Caenorhabditis elegans: one gene and its partner. The protein of the gene in region 1 interacts with the protein of each later gene in a pairwise test. Each region holds a gene or a part of one and is shown on either strand. Other genes may lie near its edges.

Region 1 (13,611 bases):
GCAAGAAAAGGGAAGCAATAGGATTACAATATATGTATGTACTACGCGTTTTGTCTAGTGGGAAGGTAGGGCAAAGGATGAGAGGATGGATACGAGAAAAAAAAACACTTGAGGTCATCATGGTCGTGTCTTTTTTTTTTGGATTCTTTTAAATTGTTTTCCAAAAAGAAACTTATGTTTTTAGTACAGAAAATTTGTCATCATTCAAAATGCCAGTTTGAACATATTTTAAGTGAGGATGTTAGCAATTTTAGAAAACGAGGATACGAATTTTGAAAAAAAAACAAGCAAAAAGTGTTGTCAATTCACGTTTTTGCATACAACCTTTGTTTATGTAGATTTAAGGAAAAACTGAATTTGTAAGACCTTGGTATCCACTTGTAGATCTGATTCACAAAAATTCTTCTGATAATAAAATCTTTTGTGAAGGGAAATAACAGTTACCAGTAAGAAGGTGTGTAATAAAAACAGACCTTGCTATTTATGTGGAAGAAAATTTGTTCAAAATTATGTGGAAGATAACATGTCCAATGTTCAAATCTGACTTTTGGATTTAATTAACTTTTATGAAAAAACATTATATTTATTTTATTACTTCCCTCTTTCAGGGTCCACTCACAATCCGTGTTTCAACGAGGAAATAGAAATTCTGATAATCCTGAATTGTAGGAGGAGTCTGAATAAAAATTCTCGTTTTTCAAAGTATTCGTTTTTTCAATTGATTTTTTCAGCAATTTCAAAATGCTTTAAACCGTTCATTCTCAAAATTTCTAAAACCGTAATAAAACAAATTACTGGTTTTTTAATTGGAAATTAATCAGCATTACTTAAAAAAAGTCAAAAAATTTATTTTGCGAGATTTTTTGAGTAAAACTTTGCATAAAGATGTTGAAAAATACGTTATCTTTGTGACAAACATTTCACATTTAATTGTAGCCTTTGATGAAGTGCTTAAAAACTAGCTTAATATGTGTTGATATGAAAATGTGAAATTTTCAAGTTTTTTACTATATCAAAAGTATTTATCTGAAAGATAAAACATTTCTCTGCATTTCTAAACAAATTAACATTCAAAAATATTGGCGCAACAAAAGGGATTTTGCAGGTTTTTTGAAATCACAGAGAAATCAAATTAAGGGCCACGTATTGTTTTGTATAGCGACTTGGAATCAGTTTTAGAGTGACCGTTCATCGTGAAACTAAAACAATTTTTTCAAATTGTTTAGATGTTGGGGCACTCCATTATGATAAAATTGAACGTTGACAACTAGGCCGTCTTACATAAGCGGAAAAATCGGCATTCTTCTTAAATTGCAATTAAGAATGTTTACTCAAAGTTGTTGGTTGACTTAAATATTTCTTAATTTATGCCGTACACTAATTTGGTAATTTTCTAGTGAACAAACGACCAGATCCAAAAAGATCAGTAAATAATAACACCTACAAGCTTGAAAAGTGGATATTAACCATTTTTAAAGTAATTTTTTGAGAAGTTTCATATGAATATTTGACGGTTTGATTATTTCACTTTTGATAATGTTAGTTGAAACAAAGGATTAAAGGACGATCCGTTTTTCAAGTGCTATGCACTGCGGATCTGGGATTCAGGTACGAAATTTCTGCAACAAACTTTTTGGACATAAGTTTTGAAAACAGTTAGACAAAAAACTAATAGCAACAATACGCAAACTGATAGTTAAATGATATCGCAGTGTAATAATAGTTAAAAACCTGTTTAAAGAAACTGGAGGTCGGGTGAGTGTATCTGTGATTAGTGTGAACTCCTCACTTCCTCCTCTCATTCTCGTTTTCCTGTGTTTTCACTTTCCAAGTCTCCAGAAATGAATAGGTGAAAACCGCATTGTCGATCTTTTCACTGTTTGTACATGTCCAATTGGGTCATCATACAAAAGGAGTAGCCGCACGGTTCTCGCCAGAAAAAAGGTGGAATGAAGAGTCAGGAAGAAAAGGTCAAGTGCGATATAAAGGAAAATGATGTCTTAATTGACTTGAGTGTTTTATGTCTTCGAGATATTATTCAAATGATTTTCTGTGTCAAGTTTCATACTACAAAACCATTTGAAATAACGGAAAAGTCATCGGAAAAGAACATGTTGTGGAAATTCTTGTTACGTGTTGCCTTAGCAAGCAATTAGAAATGCAAAGCGCTGGTCAACAACTGAACAAAGATGGGTGATAAATATTTAATAAACTCTTGTTCATTCATTTTGACGACCCATAAAATTTAAAAGAAGACTCGTGAATTATCAGAAATCAAAAGTGGCTGAGAAAACTTGGTTGTGTGCTAAGCATGAAGATGGATCATAAAAAAAGAAAAAAAACGGGATTCTTCAAAATTACATTTGAAAATTGGGAAACTCTGCTTGTTTCCTAATTTTCAAAATGCGCCATAAACAATGTTGTAAAATATTGTTAAGTGTTTAAATTAAGCTTCAATCACTTTGTGTGAACATTGCAACAATTTAAACCTGCAGCAAATGCTTGAAGTTTTTCAAAAAAACACAATTTTTTTAAAGCTTAACAATTTGCCAAAACTCGAGCAGAACCTTGGAAGATTGAAACATTTTTGTTAGAAATTTGTCAATTTCCTCCGCCTGTACAGAATTCAAAGAAATTTTAAACATTAACTTTTTTCGAGAGTAACTCACCGTACTTCCATTATTAGTCTTGCATGTAAACTATCAATTTGGTCAAAATTTCCCGTTACAATCCAGAAACCTCAAAGTTCAATTTCTGATCATTTGTAAATGAAGAATTCGTAAACTTCAAAAGAAGGCACCTTCGAAGAATAAAGGAAACCATAATTTTCCCAACAAAACCTGGGCTTCATATTTACAAATAGCAAAATGCAAAACATAAAACACACAAATAAGTTAACAATCAAAAATCAAACCTCCAATAAATGGAGATCGAGAATTTAATGATGATGTGTACAAAAATACAAAGCTTGGTATTTTAAACAAAATAATTGAAAACCGAGCATAACGGTTTTAGGTTTTAAGAAATTGCTGACAAAAATTGCTTTATTTCTTCATAGCGAAAATTCAATAAATCTAAAGTGTAATATTTTTCTTTTTGTATACCAACACACCAATTAGCAATGCAAAGTTGCTGCGAATATTTTTCTATAAACAAAATTGTTTGAATATTTTCATTTGCTTAATTGAATTAAGAATAATTGAGAAAAAATTGGGTAAAAGTAGACATTCGTCTATTGATTTTCACTTTAAAACCTGCAAAATCCTATACAAATTCTAAAACTTCAAATTTATAAAACCCATTCATTTCAATCATTTTCATTCAAAAAACGTGTATACAAATCATACAAAAAAGATACTTAGTGGCTGGAGAGACCTCGTGTTGTGTAACCAAATTGCTCAAAAACGGCACATCCTAAATTCTGCTAGTTCCATTTTGCGCGAAATGTCCGAGAAGCATGCGCGAGATGACAATGCGCTGAATTTGCGAGGTTCCCTCGTAGATCTGATAGATCTTGGCATCACGCATCAGTTTCTCCACTGGATACTCAGAGTTGAAGCCATTTCCTCCAAAGATCTGAAATTATGTAGGTTGCCTTTAGTAATCAGTTTTGGTAAGACAAACCTGAACAGCGTTGGTGGCAGCTTGGTTGGCAGTGTCGGCGGCAAAGCACTTGGCGATCGAAGCATTGTATGAAGAGCGCACCTTGTTGTCGACATCGTTGGCGGATTTGTAGGTGATAAGACGAGCGAGCTCGAGGTTGACAGCCATGTCAGCAAGCATGAACTGGACGGCTTGGTGCTGGAAATTGTCAATATTATTTTATGTGCAATTTGAAAACTTCTGAAAAATCTGAAACAAGTAAAGACCGTGGCGAAAAGTCCCTTCCAGGAACGAAGTTCTTCGATCATTTCTAATGTTTTATCTATCGTAGCTCCGCTGTAGGTTTCATATGCAAGCTCTTACATTGGCAATTACGGTTCCGAAAGCCTTTCTCTCCAGAGCATACTTGGCCGACTCGTCCAAACATCTCCACGAGAGTCCAAGTGCTCCGGCGGCAACTCCTGGTCTCGTCATGTCAAAGGCTTCCATGGCGACCTTGAATCCAGCTCCAGGGGCTCCCAGCACATTCTCGGCTGGCACGCGGACGTCTTCAAAAGTGATGACACGGGTGTCCGAGCATCGCTGTCCCATGTTCTTCTCCTTCTTTCCACGGGTGATTCCAGGAGTGTCACCGTCAACGATGAAGGCGGTGAAAGCCTTTCCAGCTGGAGTCTTTGGGTTTGGATCGGAACGGGCTAGCACGAAGAACCTGAAAATATATTTTTAATTTTTATAACCCAACGCAATTTTTACCAACCATTTAGCATGTCCTCCCCCGGTAATCCAGGCTTTGGATCCATTAATAATGTACTCATCACCCTTCTTCTCACACTTGGTCTTAACTCCGTTGACATCAGATCCAGCACCTGGTTCAGTCACACAGTACGAAGCAATAATTGGCTCCGCAGCGAGTGCTCCAAGATACTTCTTCTTCTGTTCCTCATTTCCAGAGATGTAGACAGGAGCAATGGCAAGAGATGGTCCCATGATACCAAGTTGAATACCAGTGCATCCATAGGACAAAGCTTCAACAATGAGGGCAGTCTCAAGAGTGGTCATTCCTGGGCCACCATACTTCTCCGGAATCTGTGGGTTCATGAGTCCAAGGCTATGAGCCTGTCGGACAATTTCCCATGGAAACTCTCCGCTCTCGTCAAACTTGGCTGCATTTGGGACGAGAACATCCTTGGAGAACTTGAGAGCGGCGTCTTGAATCTCCTTTTGGGTTTCGCTGAGGTCTGAAAATTGTCAAATTAAGTTTCGTACAGTTATTTAGTTTTGCTCTGTCTATTCTCAAGAGCTACTAAAATCTAGATTACTTTGGATAAGTTGCCAAAAGTATATTCAACTTACCAAAAGAAATTTGACGAGATTGAGTGGCAATGACTCCGGTTGCAGAGCGGGAAAGCCCCAGCGATGATGTTGCAATTCGGGAAAGCATATTTAACCTGCAACTTTTGAATTAAAACCTGAGAATTAAAAAAAAACAACCAAAAAACAATACAAAAATATGTAACACGGTGACAAACCGTAAAGTGCGAAAAGTAAATAAAAAAAGCAAGTAAATCAAAACTGTTTCTTTTTTTTTCAAATCATTTACAATTACAAAATATACCAGTGTTTTGTACAAAACTGTGATCAAACGGGGAAAAACGGGTGGCGTGCTAATATCCTCCATTCTGAGCGACTCGAGCGAGCAACTGACGAGCAATGACCATGCGTTGAATTTGCGAAGTTCCCTCGTAGATTTGGAAGATCTTGGCGTCACGCATCAGCTTCTCCGCTGGGTATTCAGTGTTGAAACCAGCTCCTCCAAAGATTTGCACAGCATTTGTGGCGGCTTGGTTGGCAGTGTCGGAAGCGAAGAGCTTGGCGATCGAAGCGTAGTAGGATCCTGGGCGGCCAGCGTCAACCTGGAAGAGTGAGGGAAATTATGATAGTTTGAGTGTGTTTCTGCAGAAAATGGCTGGCAATTAGCGTGCTGACCAATCTTTTCTAAGTTTAATCAGCATTTGAAGTTCGTATAGCGTTTTGTAATTTCCTATAATAGTACCGATTTTATGCTCATATTCCTATGTACATCACTGTGATGTTCTGCCTGCTGCATCAAATGCGTCATGGTGTTTGCGGACTTGTAAATTTACGGGGCGCCTCCCATTTTAACATAAACATTTTATCCTTCAAAAAGCTTGATTTGATTCTGCTTGACCTACCTCTGCACCACTCTTGTAGGTCATCAATCTAGCGAGCTCACAATTGATGGCCATCTCGGCAAGCAAGAACGACACTCCTTGATGGTTGGCAATTTGCGTTCCAAACGCTTTTCTCTCCAGAGAATACTGTGTGGCGACGTCCAAGCAGCGGTAAGCAACTCCGGTGGCAAGTGCTGCAACAGTTGGCCGGGTTTTGTCGAATGTCTTCATGGCGACCTTGAATCCCTCTCCTGGGGCTCCGACGACGTTGGCGGCTGGAACACGGACGTCTTCGAAGGTAATACCACGGGTGTCTGAACATCGTTGTCCCATGTTGATCTCCTTGCGTCCTCTGGTGAGTCCTGGGGTGTCCCCTTCAACGACAAATGCGGTGAAGGCTTTTCCTGCTGCGGTCTTTGGGTCTGGGTCGGAACGGGCAAGCACGAAGAACCTGAAAAAAGAGCGTAGGAATGTTGTGAATTTTTTAGCGACAAAATATTTTATTTTCAGATAGATTTTTCCAGAATGCTCCATTCAGCATATTTATGGATTTACAGTGGCCCATAACAATATCTACGGTAGACCTTTTTTCTCGCGTCTCCTAGAATCATTGCACTTTGACCTGTTGATTATAAGTACACGTTTTGATAAGAAAAACGAGGGTTCTTCATCTTCCTGTCGCATTCTTTCTTTCTCTATTCCATTTCTCTCTCTCTCTCTCTCATTTCCACGTCTAGCGGTACAAAGTCCAAGTTTTGTGTAGTCGACCAATCATTGTAGTCTGCCCGACTTTACAATGACGTAGATCCTCACCACGTGGAACTCACTCACCAGTTAGCATGTCCGGCGTTTGTGATCCACATCTTTGAGCCGTTGAGAATATACTCATCACCCTTCTTCTCACACTTGGTTTTGACTCCGGCGACGTCGGATCCAGCTCCTGGCTCGGTGACGGCGTAGGACTAAAACAAAATTGATTAGGTGTTATTTACCGTAAGAACTCAAGTATATTTCGAAAATACTTACCGCCACAAACGGATTGTCGATCATTCTACCAAGGAATCTCTTCTTGATATCATCATTGGCACATAAAATGAGCGGGGTCAGTGCAAGATCATTAGCCATGATAGCGGTAGCAATACCCGAGCATCCATATGCCATCTCCTCACTGATGATACAATTCGAGACCATATCAACTCCAAGTCCTCCATAAGCTTCTGGAATGTCGGCGATCAGATATCCCTGTGCATGAGCCTTCTTGATGATCTCCCACGGGTACTCCATGGTTTTGTCGTATTCGCCGGCAACTGGGATGACCTCATCGGCAACAAACTTGCGAACATTTGCACGGAACTCTGCTTGGTCAGCGGTCAACTGGAAGTCCATGCCGGTTGACATGGCCTTGTTTGTGGTGCTGAACAGACGCGTGCATTTCGTCAAGTTTCTGGAGAGCATTTTCTGAAAAAAACTTTATTGAGAGTTTGCTATGAAAAATCGATAATCCTAGTAATTGAGGAAAAGACAACAACAAAAAATTGGAACACACACGGTGTATGTGGCGTCTGCTGCTATCATCAAGAGAAAAATGTTTTGTGAAGGTAAAGAGAGAGAGAGAGAGATGGAGAATTGGCCCGCTTGGGCGGAGACTACTTGTTGTTGGGTATGGATAAGAAAGTCACGGAGGTGATAAGGATGGCACGCTTTTGATACTGTTTTGGGAAAAACTGCCAATGATTTAGAAGAATATGAGATTAATAGAGATCAAACAGAAAGAACCAGAGAACTGCGAAAATGGGGTGGTGTACTCAAGAGAAATGAATGCGAGATATGGGGAGGGGGGGGGGGGGGGGGGATCGATGGTCCGCAGACTGTCGTCAGGTGTGGCACTTTGTTGTGTTGGCAGAGTGTTGTGGTAAGAGAGTGCGAGACGCAGATGGTGTAACGCAGGTAAATGACCACATGGCAACAGTGTAGTCACTATAAAGTCCAAAGTGCATAGGTGCATGTTCTTCGGAGCGTATGAATGTTACTTTGGTACTTTAATTGAGCAGTTTTTTTATGTTCAACTATTATTCAAAATCAATGAAAAAAGTATACCAAGAATGTTTATAAATAAAAATATCCACAATTCATGAACAATGAGACGCAGGATTAAGAGAAAGAAAAAACAGCTAATAAGAGTTTAGTTTCCGATTCACTCAGAAGTATAGACAATAAAAACATTATACATTTGAAATAATTCTATTGCAAAAATTTGAGTAAGGGGTGGGGTTTTTTTTTGACAAATCGGCAAATTCCCGAAATTTTTTCTTGGAAATTTTTAAATTTCAATTTTAATCGGGAAAATTGTAGGCATCCTATGAATGTTCCTACATCTGTTTTTATTTCAAAAATCCCTTTGGCCACTTCCGGTAAATTGATGTCCGGCAAACGGCTAATCGGCATTTTGCCGAAAATGAAATTGTCCGGAAAATCGGTAGACTGGCATACAGCCGGAATTGAAAATTTCCGGCACACCGGCAATCTGCCGATTTGCTTAATTTGTCGACTAGCGGGCCTATGGGCCCGCCAGCCCTTCGGGAATGGGGATAGGGTTAATTCGCTCTAAGTTATTAGCAAGGTAGCTGGCGCAGGTTCTCGGCTTCGCCTCGAACCTGTTAACGGGATATTCGAGATCTCTTTGAAATTATTTTAGGAGTGGGTATATGTTTAGAAAACTTGACTATTCAGGTTTGAGGCTTCGCCTCGAAGCTCTTACTGTGTAAAGTGAAATCTCTTTAAACTTTGATTCATTGCTCCAGGACCGACACTGTACGAATAACTTAGGCTGAGATTTTGTTCAAGAATAATTTGAATGTATTCAATAAAATAAGCGTGTTTTCAATCATCACTGTGAACTACAAAAAACGGTGAAGGAAAAGGAAAACTCATGAATACGGCCTGCTCTGCTTGGAATAGGATTAAAGCCAGCCCACAATTTTTTAAGAGTATTCGGGCCTGCGGCCCTCAAACCTGGTTGTTAGGTTTGAGTAAATAACAACCGCGTCGCAGGCCTACAGCCTGCTCTGCTTAGAATAGGATTAAAGCCAGCCCACAATTTTTTAAGAGTATTCGGGCCTGCGGCCCTCAAACCTGGTTGTTAGGTTTGAGTAAATAACAACCGCGTCGCAGGCCTACAGCCTGCTCTGCTTAGAATAGGATTAAAGCCAGCCCACAGTTTTCAAGAGTATTCGGGCCTGCGGACCTCAAACCTGGTTATTAGGCTTGAGTGAATAACATATCTGCTTAGAATAGGATCAAAGCCAGCCCATAGTTTCCAAGAGTGTTCGGGCCTGCGGCCCTCGAACCTGGTTGTTAGGTTTGAGTAAATAACAACCGCGTCGCAGGCCTACAGCCTGCTCTGCTTAGAATAGGATTAAAGCCAGCCCACAGTTTTCAACAGTATTCGGGCCTGCGGCCCTCAAACCTGGTTATTAGGCTTGAGTGAATAACATATCTGCTTAGAATAGGATCAAAGCCAGCCCACAGTTTTCAACAGTATTCGGGCCTGCGGCCCTCAAACCTGGTTATTAGGCTTGAGTGAATAACATATCTGCTTAGAATAGGATCAAAGCCAGCCCACAGTTTTCAAGAGTATTCGGGCCTGCGGCCCTCAAACCTGGTTATTAGGCTTGAGTTAATAACATATCTGCTTAGAATAGGATCAAAGCCAGCCCATAGTTTCCAAGAGTGTTCGGGCCTGCGGCCCTCAAACCTGGTTATTAGGTTCGAGAGAATAACATCTACTTTTTGGAAAATCGTGAACGCCTGTGGGCCCCCAGCCCTTCGGGAATGGGGATTGTTTTAGAAAACTGAAAATAATAAAAGCTTTCTAAATCAAACTTATCTAAGAGTAATCGCATATCAGGCCTCCGGCCTGCCTTGGTATAATGATTTAAGGTTGACTGCGTCTTCTAAGAGTAAGAGTGCCTGCGGCACTCAATCCAGCCAATCTGGGCTTAAAACAGTTGTAATCGCACAGCAGGCCTCCGGCCTGCAATGCCTGAAGTATATGTTCAAAGTGAACTTCTTCTTAGAGTTAAAGTGCCTTTCTATTGTTTTTTTTTGGAAAGAAAACATTTTCCAGCCACCCGCACGCATGCAGCCTTTTGTGAGGAGAGGCGGCCTGTGAGGAGTCATGCACTAAAACTTCAATCCGTCATAACTTTGCTCATAGTAGGAGTTTGAGAAAAATTAAATAATTGTTGAAATTGGCGTAAAAAGTAGAATAATACGGCGGTTATTATGTTTAAAAATAACAAAAATTGAAACATATCACCTTCTGGGAAGGCCTGGAAGCTCAAAACTTCCACAAATGTGCTGAAAGTTGTCAAGACCGACCAAATTTAGTTTGTCTACCTTGCTTCAATGAAAATTATCAAAATTAAAACATCAAATCGAAAGGATAGTTGAAAACTTGTCCAGGAACAGAGGAAAACTGGATTTCCATGTGCAAAAATTAAATAACCTATCTCTGCGAAAAATGATCGGATCAAGCTGTGATTTGAGATTTCATTTTATTTTATTCTATTAATTCTAAATTTAACATAAAAACCGGAACGATAGTGGAAAGTTTGTGAATTTTATGGAAAAATGTAAATTGTTTGAAAGAAGTGTTCATTTTTTCTATTTTTGAGACTATTATTTACCTTTTTTGAAACAAAAAATTATATTTTCCGCTTCCTCTCGATGTGATGAACATTTTTCCAAAAAAAAATTTGAAAAAGGAGCAAGACTAACGGAGATATGACCGAAACAATGGTGAAAATGTGGCCGAAAACACACCAAATATGAAAAGGGGAGGTGGGTGTGTGTGTGAGAAAAGGGGGGAGGTGCAGAAATTTTGGCAAAACTTTAATTATCGTTTTTAAAATAACGAATAGAGATATCACAATGAACTTAGATACAATGGATAGGCATTGAAAAGGAGAACTTAAGTTTCGAGTCTCAAACGTTTTGAACATAAACTCGAATTTTCCTTCAATTTAAAGTGGTTTTCGGCCAGTACTTCGGTGTGCGCAAAAACAAGAGGGTGTGGTTTTCCGCTTGTGGAGCCGACAGGATGCTCCAAAATCAACCCCCTTTTAGATGAACACACGTCGCTATACTTTGTGAATGTAGAGAAAAAAGAATTTCAAAAATCGGTTCCGTGAGAGCCGAGATATAAACGTTCAAAGTTGTATTACACATTTTTCGGACATTTTTTGAACATTTTTTGAACACCGAAAACGCGTGTGTGTGGCAAGATGGGGGTTTTAGGAAGGAGGCAGACAAAAAAATTTGCCGAACGGAAGAGCCTCTCGTCCCTAGTCTGAATCTCACTGTTTGAATTTTGTTTAGACATTTCCCAGAGTTTGGACATGAATCTAATGACGATTCAAGTATCGTTTTCATTTTTTTTGCAATTCAAGTTAAAACATAATAAAACCAATCACGAAAATGCCTCCTACGCATTTATATCAAATTATGACTCATTTGGTCTCCTTCAGTGGAAATTAGCTATTTAAAACGGTGATTAAAATGCTTGAAAGTAAACCAAAAAAAAGTCATAAATGTTTTGAAGTGTTTTTTTTTAATTTTTACGTCTGTTTTCTTTAAATAATTTTCCTTTAGACTTGTTTAGATTGCTAAAAATGGATTAGGCACATTTTCCAAAGTTCATGGCACAGCTATAGCGAATTGAAGTTACTAATTAGAGTTTTAATATTATTATTTATGAAACAAATTTTTTAAGAACACATATTTTCTGTGAAGAGTTCATTTTAAAATTAGCTATCCATTTGAATATTGTTTTACGATTGTTTGCCGAAAATTATTCCAAAAGTTCCGAGACTTTTAGTTTCTATAGTTCGGATTATTCTGAATTCTGAACTAAAATTTTCAAATGTACAACTTTTCATGTTAATTCAAAAAATGACTCGTTTGCGCTGCTTTTGTGACAGCTGCATATTTGAAACACTGATAAAACTACGTTTTTTATTTAAGTCTGCAAAAATTGAAGTTAAAAAAATAAATCTTTGTTTTGGAAAAAAATTCAGTATTAGTATTAAATATTTCGATTTTTAACTGTGTACTTTTTTCTTTTAAAACCCTCTTTTTTTAAAATTATTTTTTAAAATAATTTTTGTATTTAATAACAGATCAGGCAAACAAATTGTTAAGAATTAATAGAAATTAAACTTCTGAGCTGCAGTTTCAGATTTGTTTGAAGTTATTGAACAAAAATCAAAATTCCGAAACGTTAAGTTGACCTCTATTCAAAAAACAAACAAAACTCCCTCATCTAAACGTGTTGTTATGGTCAGTGCGCAGTGCGCAGGTGTGGATTTACGAGCGGCCGAGGGGTCGGGTCTCGACGGGAAACCCCTTTCGCCTGAGTCTCTGCCCCTGCATATCGCTACGTGGTTGACCGGCTGAGAGGGGGAAAGTGTTCACTGCATAGCATATTTCCGTTTTCATAAACCTTTTACGGTTTAAATTCATCAGTTTTAGCTCGTTTCGCTTCAAATTTCTCATTTTCGTCTCCTTTTTTTTTCGTTTTCTACTGCTCAGTTGTTCGTAAAGCGAGGAGAGACAATCGATGAGAAAAAGAGACACAGATGCGGCCCAAATGTTGCATTTCTCCTCTTTTCCGTGCCTTACACCCGTTCTCCTATCGATTTTTGTCCCTGCGTGGCAGTGACCACATCTCTTCCGTTATTTTGTCTCGTGTTCGTGTTCCTCTTGCGAGAAGTTTCATTTATAATTTTTTTAAAATAAAACTTGATTTAATTTTAGAAAAATTACAGAAAAATGTCGGACTTTGGTAATCCGTTGAAGAAATTCAAGCTTGTGTTCCTCGGGGAACAAAGTGGTGAGTATTTTGATTGAAATTCTACCGTAGATATTGAATTCTCAAGTTTCTAAATTTCAGTCGGAAAAACCTCCCTAATCACTCGCTTCATGTACGACTCCTTCGACAACACCTACCAGGCCACCATCGGAATCGACTTCCTGAGTAAGACCATGTACTTGGAGGACCGAACCGTAAGAAATCAGTTTTTGCGTAAAGAAATGATTTCAAAATCCGTAATTTCAGGTTCGTCTTCAACTTTGGGACACCGCTGGACAGGAACGTTTCCGCTCACTCATCCCATCCTACATCCGTGATTCTACAGTTGCTGTTGTGGTTTATGACATCACCAGTAAGTTTGGAAGAAGTTTTTCTGATGTTTCATGCTGTAAAGCTTCACACTGGATCCTCTGGGAGAAATTTTTTAACTATAGTAGTGTATATAGTAGTAACTATAATAACTATATTGGTTTAATACTACAATAGTCACTGGCAGCTCTAATGCGAAAAGCTTCTAGCAAGAAGAGAAGCTCAAAAAACAATTTATATTGATAGAAAAGTTAGAATCCAAAAGGAAACCATTATTTTTTGTTTAATCTTGATTTTGAACTAGGGTGGGCAATGAAAAAACTCTCGGTAACGACAAAAAAGCTTCATTTAACCCCAACTTTTTTGCAGACTCCAACTCTTTCCATCAAACTTCCAAGTGGATTGACGACGTCCGTACTGAGCGTGGAAGTGATGTAATCATCATGTTGGTCGGCAACAAGACCGATCTTTCCGATAAGAGGTTCGAATGAGAGTTTCCGCTAAAAATTCAATTAAATTGTGTAGTGGAAACGGCGGAATATGCATTTAAGTAGCTCCAGGCTGAAGTTTTAATCGGCATAACTTTCAGTATGAAATCTTGGCTAGCTTAAAACCTTCTCTAAAGATATTGTTTGG
Region 2 (11,789 bases), on another chromosome or scaffold:
ACGACAAAAAATGCTGGCACGTAGGCACTGAAGGCGTACTCGTTTCCCATACAAAACCGCATGTGATCACCGAAAGTTTAAATTAAATCGCAGGCATTAGTTTTCACTGTGAACGCAATTTTTCAAGCAAATAAACAGAACTTCCTTCCAATATTTTATCAAATCCATAAACTCATATATTTTTTCTGATATACTTTCCCCCTTCTTCACTCTCTAATTTAAAAATTACAATACAACCAAGGTCTCTCCTTCTTCTCAAATACTGACCATGACAGAAAAAGAAAGGATCGATGTTCTGTTCCCGTCTCAACCTTTTGGTGTATACACAGATAGAATCTTTAATTTACGTCACATGTAAATGTTTTTCGTACCTTTTCCTTTTAAGGTATACATAGTAAGGACAAAATACTTGTTGACCAGGGACAATTGGTTATTCAAAGTTAATGATCAGTATGTTCGTACTTATAAGGAAATGACGTTAAAATGTTTTAAATGTAGTGTATCCCGAGTGTGGATGTATTTTATTAATTTTTAAATTCTTTAATTTTGTTGTTTTTTTTTGTTGATGTAGTATATAACTTTTTGACAACAAATATACCTATTATAAAATTTTCAAAATTTGAAGAGCATATGATTTGTTTTGATCTTCGAAATAAACATTGAACTGTTTAATTTTTGTTCACTACCATGTCTTGCAAAAACCGATATGTCTCGGTGGACAACGTCACTTTCCATTAGGTCCACTTTTCTTCAATTGACCAAGGCCATTGTGTTTCCATTTATCATTTTTTCATCGGTTCTCATTTTATTTAAACAATTTTTTGAAACTTCACGGCAACTCGTGGGAACGGGAATCGCCATATTTTGACTTTCCCAAAATTTGGGTAACAGATCAACTTTATATGGACAATATATACAGTCCAAGAAAGAAGTTTTTCCAAGTGTTTGCAATTTAATCGTTGTTCCGTTGAACTATCCCAATTACGTTTTGCCAACAAACTTCTTTTGACTGTCTACTTGAAACATTGATTTTTTTTAATTAAGAAATTAGGTTTCAGATCAAATAAAAATACCGCTCATATGATTTTAATACCTAATTTTTCACATTAAAATTAGTTTGCCAAGACAGAAGAATAACTACCTGGCTGCCTTCCACGAAACATACGCCTACCTCGACTTTTTCAGAAAAATTCTCAGCTAAACTAATTTATTTGAATTGAAAAGTGAGAAATGAAAATTCAACACCGTAAGAGCACCGAGCGCCCAGATTAACGCCAATATAGAATTCAAAAATGGTGGGCAGGTAGGCAGGCGGGCTCGAAGCAGGTACGTCCCCTAAAGACGTACCTATCTGCCTAGCACGAAGGTCCTGAATTTCGAAAAAATTCGAAAAACTGTTTCTCCACTCTTGAAAATGGCGTGCTTCAAAGTTAAAGCACTTCCTTTACAGCTCCTATGTAGAGCTTTTCCTTCGAATTTTCATTAATTCCTTCAACTTCTCATCGGCTATATTCTGTGGAACGTGTTATTACAGTAGATTAAGACAAAATATGATGTATTGGTCGTTCATCTCTCGACCCCTAAACACCCACCACCCGCTCACACACAACCAAATAAACTAGAAGAACCTGTTCTTTTTTCTGTATGTCGCCAATTTTTTGTTGATTATTCTGCGTCTTCATCTTATTCTTACTACCGTCCCACCTGACATGAGTCTGGCTGGTCACAGTCGGTCCGATACGATATATTGTTATCGATTCGACTGAATCCTCCTCCCGACTGATCAATTTGTTCTCGATCAGATTATTTTTCTATCGGCGAGTTTTGTGGCTTGTGATTGGCGAATTGAACTTTTTTTTCCTTTTCACTTTCCCTAAACTTTGCAGAACTTGATCTTTATTCTTTCAAGCTTCAGGGAACTGTCTACAAATATTCAAACTTAGTTGTGAAAGAGTAAATCAAATAGTTAAAATCAAAATTCCCAATTTCTTTCTCCAATTATGAATTTCGAAGAGATTTCTTTGTCAATCCGTCATCATCTTTCCATAATCGTCTTAAATTGTGGAATTTCAGAGCTCATACCATGGCGAACCACGATTTTTGCACAAAAACCATGTGGGCTCTTTCAGTTCCACTTGGTGTTTTACTAATATTGTTTATTGCACTGACCGCTTATGCAACTTACAGGTTTGTCAAATATCAATATGCAATTTTTTTCACAAGACCAAAATTATTTCAGTTTTCACATATTTGTCCCAATTGCACCAAACAATGAAATTGACTGTGCAATTATGTTCAACAAAAGTTCAGAAGATTATTTGACTTATATAGAGAATCGAACATTACTTGAGACTACGCATAATGATAGGAAGTATGTTTCTAAATTTGTTTCCCTTAGCATCTTAGAAATAATTTCCAGCTGCTTCCAAATTCGACGTCGTAGATATCTTCCTGCAGATCTTCCTAAATCAATGTCGGGTTTTCATAATATGTTCTTTATTAGAGTTGTTTCAAAAGTATGTGCATTTGGGTATCCGTTGACATGAAACCTTATGATTTTAGGATTATGATTTTGTGGAAGAAGTTCTGGCAATGATGCATTCTCCAATTCATTTCTTCTGTTTCGTATTGGACATAAATTCAGAGCCGTTATTCAAAGAGAGGATGTTCAGACTCGGTGATTGTATGGTGAATGTTCTTGTTCCACGTGAACTGTTCAACACCTCCACAGCTCACGGAACTCTGAATGCTCATAGAAGGTGTCTACGGGAAATTGATGAATTTGACTGGAAGCATGCAGTTATTACAGCTGTGGGTAACTGAGTGAAGGGAGATAATCTAAATTTTTATTTATAGGAGCATGACATCCCACTTCACAGTACTAAATTCTTATCGAGAAGGTCTAGACGATTAAGAGATATGGTTGAGATGAATGGGTAAGCAATCAGGAGAGGGGACTTGCATCGGAGAATCTCAATCTAGGGGAATGACCACTCCTTCGAAACTGTGCCACTTTGGCTGATGTTGCAAGCGGAAAACGGTTATCAGACTCGAATTAGCAGATTTTTGGATGAGATGATTACCGGGCAATTGAACCGTGCCCTGATAGCAAAATTTGCAATTTGCGCACAGTTTCGTAGGCATGAGCACCCCTTCGCAATCATCCTTGGGTCTCCAATATATACAGCCTCTGGAAATTTCAATTTTTTTCAGAATTCATTTCAAAGAAGAAACGTTAGCAAACGCAAATCCAAACGATACTTCTAGTCAATGTGAGATCTGAATTATGTATTTAAGATTATCAAAATGTCCATTTACAGTATTCCAAGTGTCTCGAAACTGGCTTCAACATCTCTGCTCAGTGGCAACAATTTCCCACTCTCAACACAAAGTTTTATACGATTATCTTCTGAAAACTCCAGATTTCGATTTACCAAATGATCAGCATCGAGAAATTTCGGTTGTTGAACAGAAATGTGATACGATGAAATATGATGTTGATGGATCTTGTCTGTACGCGATGGAGGATTTTTCTGCGATTAGGTTGGTTTACTTTTTTCTCAATAATATTTTTAAATCCAAATTTTCCATATTTCCCTGATTACTTTTATTTTTTATTGTTTACAAACTACACAAAATCTAGAAAAAGTCCATAACAATAAGAAGTTGGGAAGTACAGTACAGTTTAAAGGTGCATACATCTTTACATTAAAAAAAAATCGACGCGTCGAGACCTAATTAAAATTTTTCAATTTATGTTCAACATTTTTAAACCTTTTATCATTTCAGAAACACTACCCGTCTCTTCATTCGCGCCGATCCCCACTACGACTTTGGTTTCGTACAATGTGTTCATGAAGTGGTCTTTGAACGAACCTTCTTCGACCCAATTTCGAATAAAAATGCTAATAATTATTTATATGGATCTAGAGTCAACTTGATTGATGATTACCGTAACTAGACTCGTTTTCACCTGAGAACTTTTTACTTTTACTCATAGAACGTTCGGGTTCTTTTTGTTTTTCTTGTATTTTAATGCGGGTTTCTGATGTTTTTTCGTGTATTTTATGAATATGTTGCAATCAAATAAACATTTTAATGAAAATTCTGATTTAAGTCTCAAGAGCATCGATGCGCCATAATTAACTAGAGTGAGAGACGTAGGAATGGGAACGAAACTCCGATATAACGCACGCGCGCATTGTTTATCGTAAATTTACACCGCGATTTTTTCACATGATTTAATCAATTTTCAGAATTCTCTTTTTAAACCCCTGTTTCATCCCACTTGTAATGATTTTTTGTACAAAAAATGGAAGAAATGATGATGAATGACCCTTCTGCAATGGTTATATACGAAGAAGAAGTCACGACAGCTCCAAGTAGGTTTAAACTAAAATTTTTCCAATAAAAACTTTTGAAAATATTCTTTTCGTACAGATTTGCCATGCAGTTTAATACAACAACGTTCTTGGGACGAGGAAAAACCGATAGGATATGAATTGACCAATACAAAGTGCTACAAGTAAGGGAAAACTGTGTTTCCACTGAAAATTATCTTATTTTCCAGAACACCCAATGGAGTACAGAAAACCGCTACAATCCAAAGGGAACAACTATCCACGAGTAAAGATTTTGGAGAGCAACAAATTGTTGAAATGGATGGAGAATTTAGTATCGAAGGGACTGACATGCATGCTATTCCTTGTATGTTTTAATTTATTAATCAATCTTTATGGGCACTCGCATTAAATTATTTTGTTTATCAGGTACTTCCTCATCTATGCAACCTTCGACGTCATCAAATCCATCTTCTGGAGAACATCAACCAGTGCCTCTTCGTAGAATGGCAATTAAAATCGGACAACGAGTTCTTCGGTTTAAAGTTATCAGTGCAGAAGAAGCTCCAGAAGCTCCACTTGACACACAGGATTCATGGATTAACGATCCGAAGCCCGTTACAACGCCGAAAGCATTAGCTGGATTATATCGGTGTACTAACTGCAAAACGTATTTCGGAAATAAAGAAGTATATCAGAGACATATTCAGGTATGATTTTTCGAGAACCTGAAAAAAAACTGGAATTTTTCAGGAAGTTCACGGAGATGCTCGTCCATTCCGATGTTTCAATTGTGGAATGCGATTTGCAAATAAAACCTCGATGACACATCATTTAAAAGATCATTCGTTATTGAAACCAATGTTTTCGTGTGATTATTGTCCTCGGATCTTTTCGAAATTGGAAAGCAAAACTCGGCATCATAAAATGCATTTCACGCGGAGCACTTGTCAGACTTGTATGCGATTTTTCACTACAGAAGATGCGCTGAGGCATCATCAGGTTAGAATTTAGGATTTTCTTCATTTAAAAAATAAATTTAAGAATATTGAAAATTTCAGTCCACCGCTCATCCAGCAACATTCGATTCTGGCCCACCACCTGAAGATCTTCTTCCAAATGGAAAATCAGCTCGATATAGTTGCAGTTACTGTAATCTTCGATTTCATTTCAAAAAAGACATGCTTGTTCACGAGCGAATTCATACTGGAGAGAAACCATACTCTTGTGGTTACTGTATGAAATCTTTTGCACAAAGCCAGGCGTTGACGGCTCATATTAGAACTCACACGAAAGAATTACCCTATGGATGTGGAAAATGTGATAAACGGTTTAGAGATAAGTAAGTTGATATTTAAATGATTTTTTTTGTTTGAAATCCGATTTCAAATCTATCTTCAAACTTTTCAGTTCCTGCCTCCGGAAGCATGAGCTTGCAGCGCACACAGATGAGCCGATCGTCCGTCCAATATCGGTCGCCTACAGTAATCAAGTACAAAAACAAATGCAACGTCAGCGGGAAAATCGAAGAAAACAAGAGCTTTTAATAGCCGAACGACATCCCTACAGAATATGATTCCTTTCTTAAAAATTAATTTTTCTTGTGTAATCTATGCTCTATCGAAGATGTAGATTTTTTAATGTTCCATCACTTCTACCCACATTTATTCCTCTTTTCTTTTGTCACTTTTTCACCATTTCAACTTTCCAAAACAATCATTCAATACAGGTACTAATTCCGTTTTTTCAAGTTTTTTTTGTTCAGGCCTTTCCTTCATTATTAGCAACTAAGAAATTCTCATTGGATTTCTGCCTGGTGATCAAATCTTCCTGCTGACGTTTCATCATTTCAAAATGGCGACGATGGTGTTTTGTAACTGCGTCATCGTCTGTCTGGAATCATTCGATTTATGCAATAATATATTACAAGAATGCTGAGAAATTACCTTCATAAAGTTGTATTTTCTCATCAAATACGTCACTATTACGAACAAAACGATGTATCCGACTTCGATAAGGATGTAGACATATGGTGGCGTTGGGTTTGGACCATCCTGAAACCCCCAAGGATCAATAATTCGAAAAACTAGAAAATTTTCAACCTCAATATCTGATTCCGTAGTCGTTAAACTTTTCACTGACATCATCGTTACATTGGTTGTTGCCATTTTTCCAGATTTTCAAGATGTTAGTTACGAATTTTTACGAAATCTTCGAGTAGAACGAGTATCCGATAGGAAATAATTTTATTAAAAGAAAATTGAACTATGCAGTTTTCTTTGGAAAAAAAATAAGAACACGCTCTCGGAATAATTTTTTGAATTCTTTTCTACTGAAAAATTAATTAAAAACATGATAAATTAGAAAAAATAATTCGAGAACAACAGAGAGACGATGCACACAAGAAATATCAAATTTCAAACTTGACAAAACTTCTTCGATTTCGTCTTTTCTCCTCTTTCCTCTTGTACTTTTCCACTCATTTTTTCTACTTGAAACTTAATTTTCTATATTTTATAAACGAGATACAATAATTTTTGCGTCAAAACTACGGTACCCGGTCTCGAAACGACAATTTTGTTAAATGCAAAAAGGTGTGCGCCTTTGAAGATTACTGTAACGCTAGAGTTTTTCTACAGAAAGATTTCACCGATTTTTCATAGTGTTTTTCTCTCGATCCGTGAGGAAATCCTTGAAAAATCGATGAAGTTTCCACAGCAACAAAAGTTTGGCACTACAGTACTCTTTAAAGACGCGCACGTTTTTTGTATTCAACAAAATATTTTCGTGTCGAGACCGGGTACCGTATTTTTGGCGCAAAATTTCGTGAAAGATTTAATTTTTTTTATTGAACATTAAGAACAAAGGTTCTGAAAATATATATGCTTTTCTGCTACCGTATACGAAAGTATTTCACAATTTCATCTGATTTTTCTCTGATTATGCTGGAAAATCACGCTTTTCACAAGGTAGACAAAAAAATTTTGAAAAAATTTTCTGATAGTTTTTTTTTCAGTACTGACAAATTTAAAAATATAACCTTTTCCTAAAAAAACCTGCGATTTTCTTTAAAAACATTTTCTAAAAAATGTCGAAATACCTCGAGATGATTGTCCAAAAATAACTCATAAAAATGTGACCAGCATTCTTTTTTTTTGAAGATTTTTCATTGCGGAAACAAGAAAAATAAAATGCGTAAAGAATCAGACTAACCGGTTATTCTGTCTATGTCTCTTAAACATCAACCTATCTTTCTCTCGACATTGTTGAAATTGAGGTTTTGACTATACCTGCCGATCGCTCTTCGTTTTTTTCTATCTAAAACAACATTGAAATTCTCATGTATTTTTTGTTTCCTTTCTATCTCTATTTCTCACTGTCCCATGTGATATTTCTCAAATTTGTGTCTCCAATTAGTAGTGAGAATAACTACTACATTTCGGTCTTCCATTGGGTTTCGACAGTTTTTGGAGGACAAACTGCCCGAAATTAATTGGCATCTACTACTCACTTTTGACACTCAGTTTGCCACGCCGATCAAATCTGATGAAAAGGTTCACACCTAGTTTTTGGATTTGAATTCCAAACGGAGGTTTTGATAGTTTTTTCTTCAATATTTTCTAATGAATCTAGTACTTTTTGTTCAGTGAGAATATTGTATAGAGCCATTCTTAAAGTGCTCAAATAATAAAATATCGTAGAAAATCTTTTCAAAAAGCTTTTGCAATTTTTACTTGCGTTTCGCCACTCTAAAACTTGGAAGTCGACTAAAAAGTTTTATACGAACTTTTTGATCCACAATTTGTATTTTAACAATGTCGATGTTCAGAGTCTGAACTTTAGAACTTCAGACATTACATTTGATATCACTCTAAATAATCAATTTCGTCTTGAATCGTTCCCTAATGACTTTGAATAAGTGAATCTCACGCTACATTGACGTTTGATTCGGTGCTGTAAAATCGATTAAAAAAGTTAATTTAAAGTTAAATAGTTTGAACTTTTTTCCGAACATAGATCCATCTATTTAGATGCCTATCTCTTCTTTTCCTTCTTCTACTTTTCTTCATATTTCAGAGAAACTGAAAGTCGTTTAACTATGTCTACTTCCATTTCATATTCTGGCAGTACTTTCTTCATCGTTTCAATGTTTCATAGCAGTCAATAGACAAATTTTTAATTCAAGTTTTCCAATCTGTTTCTTTGCTTTCCAAAATTATTCTTATGTTGCTCCCGACTGGAAGGACAGACCACTTTCACCACGAATCTCATTTTTTATCTGAAGATATCAATGTCCCTGATAACAGCTAGGATAATAGATAGGTGTCAAGAACCATCAATCTTCTCAAGCTTGGCTCAACAGAGCCAGTCGAAAAATGAAAAAGTGATATGGATGGGGGACAAAGTGACCGGAGGCGGGGAGGGGGGTTAAACAAGAAAAAAGAGTTCGGCAATGGCCAGCTGCTTGTGGTTCTGATGGTTCGACATCTCGTATTTATTCAAGGTTTTGATGTTTCTATTATTTGTGGAATAATTGATGAGTACTGTATTTAGTCATAGGCATTTTAAGTTTATTGACTCTGAAACCTTTTTTCCCAGGTGACTCCAAAGTTCTTGACTACATTTTATCAATGCCTGCACGTTTTTTTTTCATGTGAAATCCAATAAAATCAAAGTATAGATAAGACGTACGAATATGATCATATGCAATATCCTGTTAAAATCTCTAAATTGCGCATCTTCAAACTATCGTAACTTAAAAACTACACGTCTTGAAAAGTAATGTTTAACTAACAAAATAATCAGAAATATGTTTTCTTTCTTTTGCATTATTTTTCATTGCAAAATAACAATAATTTGTTGAGTTACACAGAGCCAAACCCATTTTGCCAAAATTCACCAAAATTTTTGAGAACTGTTCTGTTGTACCTGTCATAACTCAACATCCATTGAATTTCCGAATGCAAATTTTATTGAATAATAATTCTAAGATATTTTGCTACATTTTATCAGTTTAAAGTTTTTTGATATTTTCATGTTCAGCCAAGTTACAGGCCATTTTTTGAAAAAATCCATTTTCGTCCATAAAACTCTTCATATCCAACGCATCGACTTGAAATTTTGAAAAATGATCACTTTTTTGAGGTTTCTACAATGTCCTAAAAAATCTTTCAAAAATGTTGGCTCATCTCCAAAATCGTCCTCCGCTCCAAAATAAGAAATGGGACTTTTGCTTTTCGAAAAATGGGCGAAAAAATTAAATTGCGATTTTTGGGTCGAAAAATATATTTTTAGAAAGCTGAGAACACGCCATTTACGAATTTCATGTTTATTTTAGGTGATTTCTGCTCTGAAACGACCTAAAAATTAAACAAAAAGAACATATTTTTAATTCTCACGTGTAATTATTTGGTAATTTGCTCAGTATTTCAATTGTTTTAATGCAAATAAAAAATTAAACGTGAGAATTAAAATTATGTGCTTTTTGTTTAATTTTTAGGTCATTTCAGAAAAGAAATCACCTAAAATGAACATGAAAATCGTAAATAACATGTTCTCAGCTTTCTAAAAATATATTTTTCGACCCAAAAATCGCAATTTCATTTTTTGGTCATTTTCCGAAAAGCAAAAGTCCCATTTCTTATTTTGGAGCGGAGGACGATTTTGGAGATGAGCCAACATTTTTGAAAGATTTTTTATGACATTGTAGAAACCTCAAAAAAGTGATCATTTTTCAAAATTTCAAGTCGATACGTTGGATATGAAGAGTTTTATGGACGAAATTGGATTTTTTCAAAAAACGGCCTGTAACTTGGCTGAACATGAAAATATCAAAAAACTTTAAACTGATAAAATGTAGCAAAATATCTTAGAATTATTATTAAATAAAATTTGCATTCGGAAATTCAATGGATGTTGAGTTATGACAGGTACAACAGAACAGTTCTGAAACATTTTTGTAAATTTTGAGAAAATGTGTTTGACTCTGTGCAACTCAAGAAATAATTGATATTTTGCAAAGAAAAATAATGCAAAAGAAAGAAAAAATATTTCTGATTATTTTGTTAGTTGAACATTACTTTTCTAGACGTGCATTTTTTAAGATACATCAGTTTGAAGATACGCAGTTTAGTAAAATTGTACATTAAAGTAATCAAACTCTTAGTTTTTTGCGCTAATAAAGATGTCTCTGACCAAAGTTGCGGAGCCATTCAAAGGTGTCAAATTCCACTTGTAGTGATCCATTTTTCTCACTTAAAATACCTATAGTAATACAATGTCAGTGTGTCAACTTCTCGTCGCCATTCCATGTATTTCTATATATTTATTCGCGTGTTTGTGTAACTGATCGGCATTTGCGGGGCGACGCCACATACACACATACTCCGGTGCGGCTCCTGAGTCCTTCCCTTTTTCATTCTAGATTCTCTGCGCACCCTCCAGGAATCAAACACTATTTTCGGGATCTTTTGTACCCGGGACAATGGGACAGTGCATGAATTTCATTTTTATGAATTTTACTGTTCATGCGGGTGTATTCTTTTTGACTTGGAATTAAAGTTTTGCATGTTCTATTGAAAAATGTGAACATCTTTCCTCAACTCTGAGATTTTTCAAATTTTTTTCTGTACATAATTTCTTGCACAGTACCTTCCAATTTATATGACATTCCCAGTTTCCGGTCTATAGAATCAATGCAATGACACACCAAAAGCACACCGCCATGAAGCTTTGGTTCCATTCAATTAGGTTCTCCATTCATTGCAAAAGCTCACTTATTTCTCATGTGTCTGGTTTTCTGTTGGGAATCAATATAATTTTAACAAATATTTTAACAGTTGTTTTTGAATAACTGAAAGCTTCTTTTTAAGGAAAACTATGTCCAATTTTTATTTTAATCAGAGTTGGTCCATTTCAGCGGCTTAGTAGGCAAGGCTGCCTTACGTGCCCCTTTTCCGCCTTTTTGCCCTTTTCGTGCATTAACGGAGCCTCAATGTAATTGTGGACAATTCGCGCCCTTGTGTAGATCCTAGTTAGGATATATGTACAAATCTATGCCAAAACTCACGTTTCAGCTACTAAAAACGTGCATACATGTTGTTTCAAAAGTCTTTTACTATTAAAATAATGAGCACAACATTTCCTGTGCTTGTCCCCGATTAAATAAATGCCAGCATATTGGACCCAGCATATTGGACCCAATTTGGGTCTCACCACGAAATTTTGTATACACCCACCCAGCACATCTTGTAGTTGAGAGTCAACATAAACAATTTCGACTCTTCGCTTCGTCTTCTAAAATATATATTAGTTCAATCAAAATTGTGCTGAGGAGTCAGCAGCCGCGGAGACACTAGACAATAGGCAGTCCAAAATTAAAAAAAATCATCTACAACTATATACATTTTAGTGCATTGGACTGTACACTTTTCCTATATGGATCATCAA

The links.
Region 2: the proteins of acdh-7 (region 1) and F35H8.4 interact in a two-hybrid assay, tested with the Caenorhabditis elegans proteins (one large-scale study listed by BioGRID).

What each region holds. Positions count from the first base shown.
Region 1 is NC_003284.9:17,209,853-17,223,463, forward strand, and holds acdh-7 (Medium-chain specific acyl-CoA dehydrogenase, mitochondrial), read right to left. Parts: upstream 7,254-13,611; 5' UTR 7,251-7,253; coding exon 6,822-7,250; intron 6,758-6,821; coding exon 6,627-6,757; intron 6,247-6,626; coding exon 5,817-6,246; intron 5,517-5,816; coding exon 5,268-5,516; 3' UTR 5,166-5,267; downstream 1-5,165. Other genes in the region: acdh-10 (putative medium-chain specific acyl-CoA dehydrogenase 10, mitochondrial), read right to left, coding at 3,415-3,576, 3,625-3,801, 3,967-4,312, 4,361-4,841, 4,957-5,044; Ras-related protein rab-6.2, read left to right, coding at 12,627-12,687, 12,748-12,860, 12,913-13,018, 13,345-13,456.
Region 2 is NC_003280.10:9,553,432-9,565,220, forward strand, and holds F35H8.4 (uncharacterized protein), read right to left. Parts: upstream 6,599-11,789; 5' UTR 6,509-6,598; coding exon 6,443-6,508; intron 6,395-6,442; coding exon 6,287-6,394; intron 6,234-6,286; coding exon 6,102-6,233; 3' UTR 6,066-6,101; downstream 1-6,065. Other genes in the region: F35H8.2 (Glycosyltransferase family 92 protein), read left to right, coding at 2,084-2,187, 2,240-2,371, 2,420-2,516, 2,563-2,811, 2,857-2,936, 3,214-3,272, 3,321-3,543, 3,790-3,961; Zinc finger protein zfp-2, read left to right, coding at 4,313-4,382, 4,441-4,525, 4,571-4,707, 4,770-5,050, 5,094-5,342, 5,402-5,682, 5,751-5,916.